Schizosaccharomyces pombe: one gene and its partner. The protein of the gene in region 2 interacts with the protein of the main gene of each other region in a pairwise test. Each region holds a gene or a part of one and is shown on either strand. Other genes may lie near its edges.

Region 1 (5,660 bases), on a different chromosome or scaffold from region 2:
TGAAGCATAACAAGCCTGGTTTGTTGTCTATGGCCAACGCTGGTCCTAACACCAACGGTTCTCAATTTTTCATTACCACCGTTGTCACTCCCTGGTTAGATGGCAAGCATGTCGTTTTCGGTGAGGTCACTGAGGGTATGGATGTTGTCAAGAAGGTTGAAAGCTTGGGTTCTAACTCTGGTGCTACTCGTGCTCGCATTGTCATTGACAAGTGTGGTACCGTCTAAGCTTGTGCTTTTTTAACTTACTCGTTGATGCATTTATGAAAAAGAACTATTGGTTCCTAGATAGTCATAGTTCATCTAACGACAATTTTTCCTATAAAGTTTGCGATAAATTTTTGTAAAGTATTCGAAAATGTAAAGAGAAAAACTTTAAATTAAGAGAAATCATTCAGCTGTTAAACGTATAAGTAATAATAAGATTTCAGTAACAAGGAAGCTGCGACGAAGTGTTTATAGCTATTGATCACGATCCATAGCATATAATCAAGAAAGTACGTATTACTGAGGTTAGACAAAAAGTAACTTAGTTAAAAAATCGACGACTTGGTTGGCCCATAATAACGCGCATAGTAGTAATTGTATTAACATTTAACTGTTTACTAGGATACTCTTATCAAAAGTAATCCTAACCTTAAACGAAAACCGGGAGTCTTTTTGATGTGAGGCATGTTTAATTATTTACATAGAAGTCCATAGTGCTAAGGAAGCTTAAGTTAGTCACCCTGGATTATATCGAATTACCTTAACGCAAGAATGTAACTCTGATTATGATATTCATTAGGGATAATATTTACGTTCAATCAAATTGATATTATGACAAGAGAGTAGCAACACGGCACTGAATGCTGCTCTGCAGCAATTGTCCAAACTTTACTTCAGCTTCAGCAAGTCGGGCACCCACTTCCATTTGATAATGCTTCCTTTTACGATTACATCCTTGCGAAAGTTTTTTGGTGTTTACTAACTCTTTTTCTAATAATTCTAGCTGAACTTCTAAAGCCTCCAACGAACTATCAAATGCTTTTTCTCCATGCTTTTCTAGCAAATAAAGGTTATCATTGCGAGATTTTTGATATTCCCATACAACAGCGGACTGCAACAGGCTTTCACGGGTTCCCGGTGGTTTTAGCTGTATGTAGCGTTGAACGTCGATGGCTGCAAGTTTTTCTCCCTTTCCAGCCGCAACAATGGCATTTTCCAGTCGATCTGATAAACGATGGGATTGAAATTTCTTTTTCTGTTCCTCTTGTTTAATTAGTAAACCTCCAGATCTCTTTAGCTCCTCCTCAACAATTTGAGCAGCTGCTGATCTATCTTCTTCGTTATAAGTAGATTCAAAGTCTAAATAATTTGATTAGAAGACATAAAAAAAAAACTTACAAGGTAATGAATCCAAAGATATATTATAACTCATTTTATGCAATCCAGAAAAAATCCGCCCTCTCCATTAGACGTTCGTGGTTGGTATTTGGTTAGTGCTCAGCACTTTGGAGATACCACATATTTTACAAAGACATAATTTATGATAAGCTACATACAATGAGATATAAGTTTAACAAAAAATCATTTTTATAATGTTTCAAGGAAGTATAATAGGATTCCAAGTAGGTTTACTCACGAATTCTTCATCCCAAGTATCCATGACATCCATATCTGATGGGTCAAGCATGAATTGCTCAGCCTTCACGTTCTCATGGATATGAACAAACGACGAAGCTTTGAATATTGGTGAAACCCCTTTCTGAAGGCAATAACGAAGAAGAATATTCGCCGGTGTTTTATTGTACTTTAAGGATAAATCTAAGAGTCGAATATCACTAAGACGATATCCTCTTGTTAGCGGTGAAAAAGCCTGTACTAAAATACCGTGATTAAAACAGTAAGAAAGAAAAGTAGGCCTGTTATTGAATGCAGAAAATTCGACCTGATTAATAGCTGGAAGGGGCAACCCAAGACTGATAATTTCTTCCAAATGATGAATATTATAGTTGGAAACTCCAATTTTGTTTATCCTTCCTTCTTTTTGATGCTGCAATAGTGCTCGCCAAGACTCAATACGGCGTACGGGCCACTTTGGTGAATGTATTAGCACGACGTCTAACTTTGGACGACCTGTTCTGCGAAGAGACTGTTCGACCGCTTTCCAGGTACGTTCAAATCCTTGTAAGGAGTCAGGAATCTTAGTTATTAAGGTGATATCTTCACGTTTAATATTCACATTTTGATGGCAGAAATCTTGAATGGCTTGTTCACATTCTTTTTCATTTCGATATGTAATTGCTGAATCAATTACGCGAATACCAAGCGAGAGTGCCTCAATTACTTGCTGGTAGCAATCCTTAAGTTGATATACACCAAAGCAAAGTTGTTCCTTTTCAAAATTGGTTTGAGAAGGAGAAAATGGTTTCATTAACGTAAGTTGAGGTAGATGAGAGAGCTCAATGTATAGACAAAAATATTTTCTAAATCCCTAAACCTTTAAGTAGGAGATTAAAGGAAATTTTTTATATATTTAGGATAATTGTAAAGAATTATTCAATGGTTATATAGCTAGGCCAGACAAGTTCATCCTCAATAATACGTTTAACTTTTTCCGATACAAATTTCTCGACTTTAGCAACATTTTTTAGCAGCTGTTTATTAGATTCTCCAATAATACTTTCCACTGTTAAATCTCGAATAACACTTGATGCATGCTCTCCAGTTCCGTGCAGCAATGTATCAACGAAGCATAGATGCGTCCGCTTTCCCATTTTAGCCAAAACAGCAATGGCATCGATGGAAATCCTAATAAATGAAAGTTTGAATGGAAGAACTGCAAATTCAGAGTTCGGGTAATTCATCGATAGAACCGCTTCCAGGCTTAGATTTGCGTCTCCGTCATAAGATACGTGTGCAGTAACTTGGAAATCGTTAGAACGATCTCTTTCTTGATGATTATCCATTGGAGTACTTGGGCGACTTTCAGGAATTGGGCTTGTGAGTCCACTTGCAGATAGAATCCCGGGTGAATTAAATGCGGGATTAAAATATGCTAGTCTTGAAAATGGATGTTCAGCAGCGTAAGGTGGAAGATCCGTAAGCACTGGTGAAACATTATTGCGGGAGCATTGATCACCCTCTAGTTCTTGGTTAGCTAATTCGAAAGCTTCATTTTCATAAAATTGGGGATCAGGATCGCCGATTTCTTGAATAGTAATCTGAGGTGAGACTTTGCCGAAATGGAAGTCAACAACCTTTAAATGCTTTATATAAGATGGTAGCGACAAATTCGAAACTTGTCCTTCGAGAAGATGTAAAACTTTTGCTTCTAATTCTGAGTCTAACTTTGACCAATCAAAGTCAATAGACATTGTTCTGCAATTGTAAAAAAAAAATACGAACTCTTGAATCTCTCAATGACGATTGTAGCAAGTTTTCAAAATTTAAGTAATTTCTTCGTCAACTTGGTTAATGAAATAATATTTAAACCGGTTCTCTAAATTTTATACGAAGACGGCATGAATTTGATACTTTAAACAAAATCCTCCAGCAATTTTAATGTCCTTTCCTTCAATGTTCTTTTTTACTCATCGAGAATTGCAAGTGAATTTTTAAGATATCTATTTATCTTAAATATTACCTTCTGTAGGTACCAAAATCTTTTCTCCTAGTATTGTCAGTAGAGTTAGGTGGTATTCCCAGATTACCTTCTAACAAAGCCTACGCGGTTTAAAAAAGGTTAAAAAACAAATTTGTAAATTAATAAACCTTTTAGTTTATTACTATCGTAATTTGTATAAACATTTAATTTTTTGGAACCACCAGTCATGTGCTTCAGTCTTCTTCTACCTAAGTTCTTGTTGCTTGCTGTTATTTTCACCTTCTGCTAGTAAAACGTTTTCAACGTTTATCTGGAATTTGTGGTATTTCTTCATTTCTATAACAATTAATATTCAATTCATTTAATTATTTGAAGTTAGAGTTTAAACATTCAACTATTACACTCAACGCGTTTGTTGACAAAAGTTACGCGCTTCATTGCATCTTTGTTATAATTTAACATTCACTCTTTCATCTTCGAATTAGTACTTTAAAACGATTTAACTGAAAATGTCGCAAACAATTAACTCTGAACTCAATGAAAATGCTACTTCACAGTGTAAAGAAGATTTGAAAGTTTCCCTAAGCGAAAGTGATTTACGTGACTCACAGGGTCAGTTAGGAATAGAAAACCCTCCTAAATGCAATAACAGTGGCAATCACTCAGATAACCTAGGTTTTATCGAGCAGTCAGAAACAGTACATCCAGAGAATGAGAAGGCTTTGACGCCGGACCTGCGAGATACAAAAATACATACTTCTTTACCAATTACTACACCTTTTTCAAAGAAAAGGGCTCGAGAAGCCAAAAATATACTTCTTAAGCCGTTCAAAAGCCCCTTAAGACAAACTGCCAGTCCTCAAGTTGCAGACACTAATCTAAAACCATCGTTAGCTGTAACAAATCTTAACTCTGATGAAACAAACACTTCTTCAGAACCTGTTACTTCTCCCTTAAGAACAACGCCTAATTCAATAAAACGGCAAAAACGACTTTTCAAGTCACCTATCTCTAATTGCCTTAATCCAAAGTCCGACCCTGAAATCACACAGTTGCTTTCTCGTCGTTTAAAACTTGAAAAAGAAGTCAGAAATTTACAAGAGCAGCTCATAACCGCCGAAACTGCACGAAAGGTTGAAGCCAAAAATGAAGATAAAGACTTGCAAACGTTGATACAGAAATGGAAAAATGCTGCTCAGCAAGCCGCTGAAGTACTTTTTAAACCAATGGCTGAACGTATTCGTTTGGCTGGAGGTGTTACTCAGTCCTTTCGTATTGAAGAAGGTGAAAATAAAGGGCAAATTCAGGAAGTACGAACTGAATTTACAATGAGTATGTTTCTAAATCAGTTTGGTGTTCCTGTTCATTTGATGTCTTTTGATGAAGAAAATGGTGATTGGAAATCGTAAAGGACTCCTTACTATTGTTAAAAAAATTTTCGTTCGTACTAGTTAGAAAACCTTTAGTACGAACTTAAATATGTTTAGCTAGCTTACACCAAAATCAAGGGTATACTAATTGAACGTACAGAGGTACCTTAATCGTTTACATACAAATTGCGCCGAGCTGGTATCGAAATTCTTTACATGTAACAATGAATCGTTCCAGGCTGAGTTTATGACTTTAATTTATATAATTATTAGCATTATACAATAACATGTCTCATTAATTTGAAATTTCTTGATTTTGAACCTTCTGGTTCTAAATTTTTTCTGGAGATATTTAACATTCAAACAACAAAAGTCGATTAATTGGCTGACAGACAACAAATATAGATCAACCAATTGAAAGATGAAAAACAAAATTTATTCAAAGCATGATTTAATCACCGACGAACCCTAACATACATATATTTTTTATTCTGCATCCATCGAGCAACAAAATTTTAAATTAGAACGCAAAAAAATCGAAGATACAATTTTTATTAAGCGCGGTTTTGTCTACGGATGATTCGCTCACGTCGTTCTTGAAGTCGATGCTGTTGATGGCGTCTCATTAAAACCAGTCCGACAACTACCACAATAAGCGTGACACACGCAGTCTCCAAAAACCTTCCATCAATGTAATCATAA
Region 2 (5,793 bases):
TCTCTGGACGAACCCATTCGTGTTACATTATTTAATGAATTTAGAGCTATTGGTGAAAAACTCGTCTATGTTTTGTATCCCAAAAATGCTCAAGTACTACGCGACTGGGACTTGTGGGGTCCTTTGATTTTTTCCCTCGTAATTGCTTTAGCACTTGCCTTGTCTACTGACAAGATTGAACGAGAATCTGTTTTTACAGTCGTTGTCGCGCTCATATGGTTTGGGGAAGCGGTTTGTTCTTTAAATATAAAATTACTAGGGGCCAACATTAGCATTTTTCAATCTATGTGTATATTGGGGTACTCCTCTTTCCCTTTAATGATTGCTTCTATAGTTTGTGCATTCGTTCCCTTAATATTTATACGCATACCTGTGATTGTTGCAATGTATGCCTGGACATTGTTCGCTGCTATGGGTGTTTTACAAAATTCTAATCTATCCAACAAAAAATTGTTGGCAGTATACCCTTTATTCCTTTTCTACTTTTCTCTAGCTTGGATTATCTTTTTATAAAACTTTCGTTTTATTTCAGGCATGATAATATACACTATGAATGATAAGCTATGACAATTATTTAAAACAAAGTGAAGTGAAGTTTAATTTTGTCCAGTAACCCTAGCATAATCTTGTTGAGCATACGCCTCGATTTGTTGCATTTTGCTTAGCTCTATTTCAGCTGCTTCAAGCCTATTAGGTAGAGCTAATCGCTCCTGATTGTATAGAAATTCGTAGCACGTTAAATTTTTCCTTTCTGTTTGCAAAGCCTTCCAAGCATGCGAGATTTTCTTTATCAAAAAATTACGTTGCTCATATGAAGATCTAACCAAATCATAAACCCGATTTTCCAACTTGTTACATTCCAATGCTTTCTTAGCTAAATCTCGTTGAATGTCGTTCGTATAAAACTTTTCAGCGGCTTCAACGTCTTCATCGTCTTCCTCGTAGATTACCAAGCCTGGCAACAAACTTGAGGTGTTGTGAAGTGCACTGTACGTTTCCAAAAATTCCTTCTCGAATTGGATATAATCGTCACTTTCTAGTTGCCCTATCTCTTTCTTTAGTAACAATCTACACCTCTCAATTTCTTCATTTGACAAATCAGGCACTTTGTTAGCCGTTCCTTTCACTTTTGAATTTCCAAACGGATAATTAATGGCGTCCGATGAAATCAAAGCAATCATTTCTTTCAATAAAACATTTGCAGTCGGATCTTCATTTTCAAGTGAACGCTTCCATTTTTCTGGTTGTGTTACAGATGGTCGAATCAAATCTCTTTGAATAACCTGTGACCTCCTCGCTTTTGCCAACCTTTCTTTTTCTGCAATACGTTCTTGGATACGACGTTCTCGGTCTGTTGCGTCTTCTTCAAGCACTCCAACAGTAGCTTCAACATCAGTTTCGTCCGCAAATCGAGGCTCCATTAGTTCATAGTCGTTTTTAGGTTTAGGTAGTTTTGCAAGCAATTCTCGCAAAGCCTTCAATCGAATTTTATTTTCTCTTTCACTTGCTAATCGTCCTGCTCGCTCCGCAGCTGCATTAATAGAAAATGTGTCACGTGGTGTTCTAAAAGGAGTTGCTTGAGGTGCTGCCAAAGCTGAGCCATTAGCTGCATGACTGGGAGTAACTCCTGTGTAACCAGTACCACCAGGTTGTAAAGGTATACTTTCCTGACCCAAGAGAGAAGATTGTTCGCGGTTCCTCATCAATTGATTTCTAACTTCAATTGTAACTGAATCCTCTCTTCCCTCAAGTTCACCACTAATTGGTGTTCTCAATGGAGTAGCTCGTTCAATTTGTGTATACTTTCCTAACAAATTAGTACTGTAATTAGCATCTGGAGTCGTATCAGTCATAGCGCGAGCACGATCGCCTGCAAAGCCTAGTTTCACTACTTTATCCAGTTCATCTTGAGACACAGTAGGACTAGGTAAATTCAACTTCCGCCTCTTGCTCATCTGCTCAGCCTCGGCAAGACGTCGCATTTTTTCTTCTTGGGCATCTTTGTTGGGCTTTTTTACTCTATCAATAGGTTTTGGCTTTTCAAAATGACCAAATTTTCGACCTTCGGATTCCATTTCATTATTCCGTATTCCATTTTCAATTATCTTCTGGTCCGCTTCTCGCTTTTCCCGAAAATTTTGCCTGTCCTCTTCTGAGGTATCATAAAAACCAATCGCTGGCTTTTTTTCAAATGGAATAGAAGCGTTATAATCCATTTCATTCTTCTTTCGACGGAAGAGCTTTATACTAAGTTATAGATTAACATAATGAAGGAAAAACAATACAATAAAGTAATAATAATAACACATACTTGATTCCAGCTGCCTTCAATTCTCTTCGCTTTTGGAGATGTGACAATCTTCTAGTTAATTCAAGCTGCTTTTCTCTATCCTTTCGTTTGGCTTTCTTTCCTTGTGTGTTTGCTAAACGTGCACGTGCTTCACTCAACATCTCTTTTTCGTCTTCATCCATGTCAATGGCATCAGGGAGTGCAGGTAGGGTTTCTAAATTGGGCTCTGCTTCGCCAAAACGAAGCCGGGAATTTGGATCGTTAACAGGCGCAGCTGCTTCTGCACCTTCTCCACTGATCAATCCCAACTGCTCGTTCTCTTTCGCTTCCAAATCATCAAGAAGTTTTTGATAGCGTTCTAAACATTGAGTGGCCGTCCGACCTACAATTGGAGCAATCGTCCGCCACTGTGTAGGAAGTAACTTAGCTAAGTGTAATAATTTTTCGTCCTCTTCACGACTCCATTCAGTCTAAATGTGAAGGAAATGTTAACAATAGGTCTTGTCAAATAACAAATAGTGATTACATGTTTAACATACCTTTTTAATGCTTGGATCGATCCATTCATACCAACGAGCTTTACATTGTTTAGGAGTTTTGCGAACCAGCAATGAACTTATGCGGGCCCATTGGTTTTTACCGTATTTACTGACAGCAGCCTAGGAATTTGCGTTAGTATTCTAAATATTAAAGGAAATATGTAACTAATAAATAAAAAAATACCTTTAAGATTTCATCCTGTTTACCAATAAGTTAGTAACAAAAACATTGCGCGTGGTAGAAGGTTAAAATCATAGTCTTTACCTCTGTATTTTTCCAGGCACCTAAATTATGTTAGAAAATACAATAAAAAAAGTTACAAACCTCCTTTTAAAACAACCATTTTCTAAATATTCGCCAAAACCCTGACAATTGTCAGAAAGCGTGGTAATGGAGGTTTGTAGTAACTGTAACAACTTGCGACGAAACAGGGTGGATGGGAAATTGAGGTAAATGTCGAGTGCAGCAGAAAGTGACCAAAATTATATTTTATATTTAAAGTAGTTTTAACTTTTAAAAGAACAGTTTCTTAAACACACTAATAGTCAAACCAAATATTCATTTTATTGTTTTTTCCAGTTTGCTACGTATCACATATTTACCTTAAATTATTTCAATGTAGCACATGTTTCTTTATCGCAAAAATATAATAGCGCAAAATCGTTGGACAACATTAAATTTTTTTGAATATTCCTAACCGTTGAGTATTAAGAAAATATTTGACAAGCAGGATATAGCAATGATCAAATATGTTTATCTTGAAGGTGGATCTACCATACTCTTCCTCTTATTTATGGTTGGTATATCAACAAGTAACTACAAGCATTGCAGTATTATGTGTATCGTTAAGTAACCTAATGACCGCGTATTTGTCAGCAATACTACACTACGTTACATATCACTATATGTCATATGTTGGAATACTAATTAAGATCCGTCTATTGATCATCACGGGTAACTATCCGTCTATATACATAGATACCCGTTGATAGCAACTATTTAGAAATATTATAAATAGAGTTTTAACTGAACTGAGGAACGAGGTTCAGTTATAAGCTATATTAGTGATAGGTAACATTTTATAACCTAGTTAATACAATACCTATACTCAGTTGCTACTCATACGACCTGTGTATTGTAATATAATAGACCACAAGGAAAACTCACCGCAGTTCTACGTATCCTTAAATTAGATAACAAACTGTGTAGCTAGCAGTATTGTGAAAAATAAAATAAGCAATGCAAAAGAAGTATAATGTATCACGCATTTCAATTTTAATGGAATACACTCAAGTTCATTATTTTTATGGGTACTTTGCAAACATATGAATGCATTAGTTTAGCAAAAGCTTTCTTAGATTCTGTGTGAAAACATTAAGAAACTGCTTTATTTGTTTGTTTCTGAAGCTCATCTTTTACTTTCTTTAGGTTATATTTTGCAAATTGCCGCTTTTTTTATGCTCGTCCATGGGTTATCATCTATTTGTTAGACAAACCAACAAAGTTTACGATTGAACAATTGTTCTATTTATCATTATCGAATTTAAAGAAAAACTTAAGGTTTAAAAGAAATGTCAGTGCTCGGGAAAACTTTACAGGAGAAAGTCAATCTCTTGGCTCAATATCCTCAAACAGGGTTGTCTTTAAAGCAATTAGTGTATTTTGGTAAGAATTTTTGCTCAGTTAATTTTTCTTAGATTACTTCATACTAGAAATTTTATACTGACTGCTTAATTTTTATTATGAAGGCAAGAACCCTACACCAGGAACACTTTTCCGGGCTGGCTTGTTTTTGCGAGATGAATTGCCCATTCGCTTGGCTCGGCGCATCCAAGACCTGCAGAATCTTTCACCGATGCTACGAAGTATGAAGCGTATATCTTCCGTAAAGGCTGCTTACGGTAGATCTATGGAGGTAGGTCAAATGTGTATATTTGCATGTTCGATACTTGTCGAAACATAACCAGAAATCAAACAAAGCTAACTGGTTGAAGGAAATTATTGAACTGAAAGGAGTGGAACTACCGAAATGTCTTCCAAAGCACGCTCGATATCACAATGCCCCGAAATGGAGGTCAAGTTTAATGGACTCTGAAATTCTTCATAATCCCTCGCTTGCAAATACTCATTTAGACTCTTCAAAAGGTCGCTATTTTGAAACAGATTTTTCTGACCAAGATAATGGCGTTGATTGTAATTGGCCCGAATCTTTGTTAAAATTTAATAGTAATTTTGCATACCTTTTAAATACCATTCGAACTAGACACGATAACGTTGCAGTCGAAATTGCTTTGGACATACAAGAATACCGAAGGAAGACTAACCAAATTGACAACAGTATTCAAATATTTTTGGATAGGTTTTACATGTCTCGTATTGGAATTCGAATGCTGTTAGGTCAATATATAGCACTTGTCTCTGAACCGCCGCGTGAGAATTACGTTGGTGTGATAAGTACACGTGCAAATATTTATCAAATAATAGAAGGTGCTGCTGAAAATGCCAAGTACATTTGCAGGCTTGCGTACGGATTGTTTGAAGCACCTGAGATTCAAATTATTTGCGATCCTTCACTTGAAATGATGTATGTAGAGTCCCATTTAAATCACGCAGTCTTTGAAATTCTCAAAAACAGTCTTCGTGCAACCGTAGAATTTCATGGTGTAGACAGTGATTTCTTTCCTCCCATAAAGGTCATTGTTGCAAAAGGACAAGAGGATATAACCATCAAAATCTCTGATGAAGGAGGCGGTATATCCCGTCGAAATATCCCTTTAGTTTGGTCATACATGTTTACAACTGCCTCTCCTACATTGACAGATGATCCTCACGATATCGTTAGCGCAAATTCTACTACTCCTATGGCTGTAAGTGAAACATTTTATTATTGATCGTTGAAATATATAATACTAACAAACATGCATAGGGCTTCGGGTTTGGTCTTCCTCTCGCTCGACTTTATA

Evidence for each region. The genes of interacting proteins can lie anywhere in the genome.
Region 1: the proteins of cdc5 (region 2) and cwf7 interact in binary tests that used the Schizosaccharomyces pombe proteins (3 or more experiments, as listed by UniProt).

The regions. Positions count from the first base shown.
Region 1 is NC_003423.3:1,576,591-1,582,250, forward strand, and holds cwf7 (Prp19 complex subunit Cwf7), read right to left. Parts: upstream 1,480-5,660; 5' UTR 1,420-1,479; coding exon 1,386-1,419; intron 1,347-1,385; coding exon 817-1,346; downstream 1-816. Other genes in the region: ppi1 (cyclophilin family peptidyl-prolyl cis-trans isomerase Cyp2), read left to right, coding at 1-227; SPOM_SPBC28F2.05C (xylose and arabinose reductase), read right to left, coding at 1,585-2,415; ERMES complex subunit, membrane tether and lipid transfer protein Mdm12, read right to left, coding at 2,537-3,358; DNA recombination mediator Sfr1, read left to right, coding at 4,098-4,997; hrd3 (HRD ubiquitin ligase complex subunit), read right to left, coding at 5,513-5,660. UniProt on the Schizosaccharomyces pombe protein: Involved in mRNA splicing.
Region 2 is NC_003424.3:2,692,138-2,697,930, reverse strand, and holds cdc5 (splicing factor Cdc5), read right to left. Parts: upstream 3,233-5,793; 5' UTR 3,174-3,232; coding exon 3,155-3,173; exon of another isoform or gene 3,115-3,154; coding exon 3,095-3,114; exon of another isoform or gene 3,038-3,094; intron 3,029-3,037; coding exon 3,014-3,028; exon of another isoform or gene 2,950-3,013; coding exon 2,830-2,949; exon of another isoform or gene 2,761-2,829; coding exon 2,312-2,760; exon of another isoform or gene 2,248-2,311; coding exon 597-2,247; 3' UTR 514-596; downstream 1-513. Other genes in the region: SPOM_SPAC644.13C (Rab GTPase-binding protein), read left to right, coding at 1-513; [pyruvate dehydrogenase (acetyl-transferring)] kinase Pkp1, read left to right, coding at 4,402-4,495, 4,579-4,745, 4,825-5,697, 5,757-5,793. UniProt on the Schizosaccharomyces pombe protein: Involved in mRNA splicing and cell cycle control.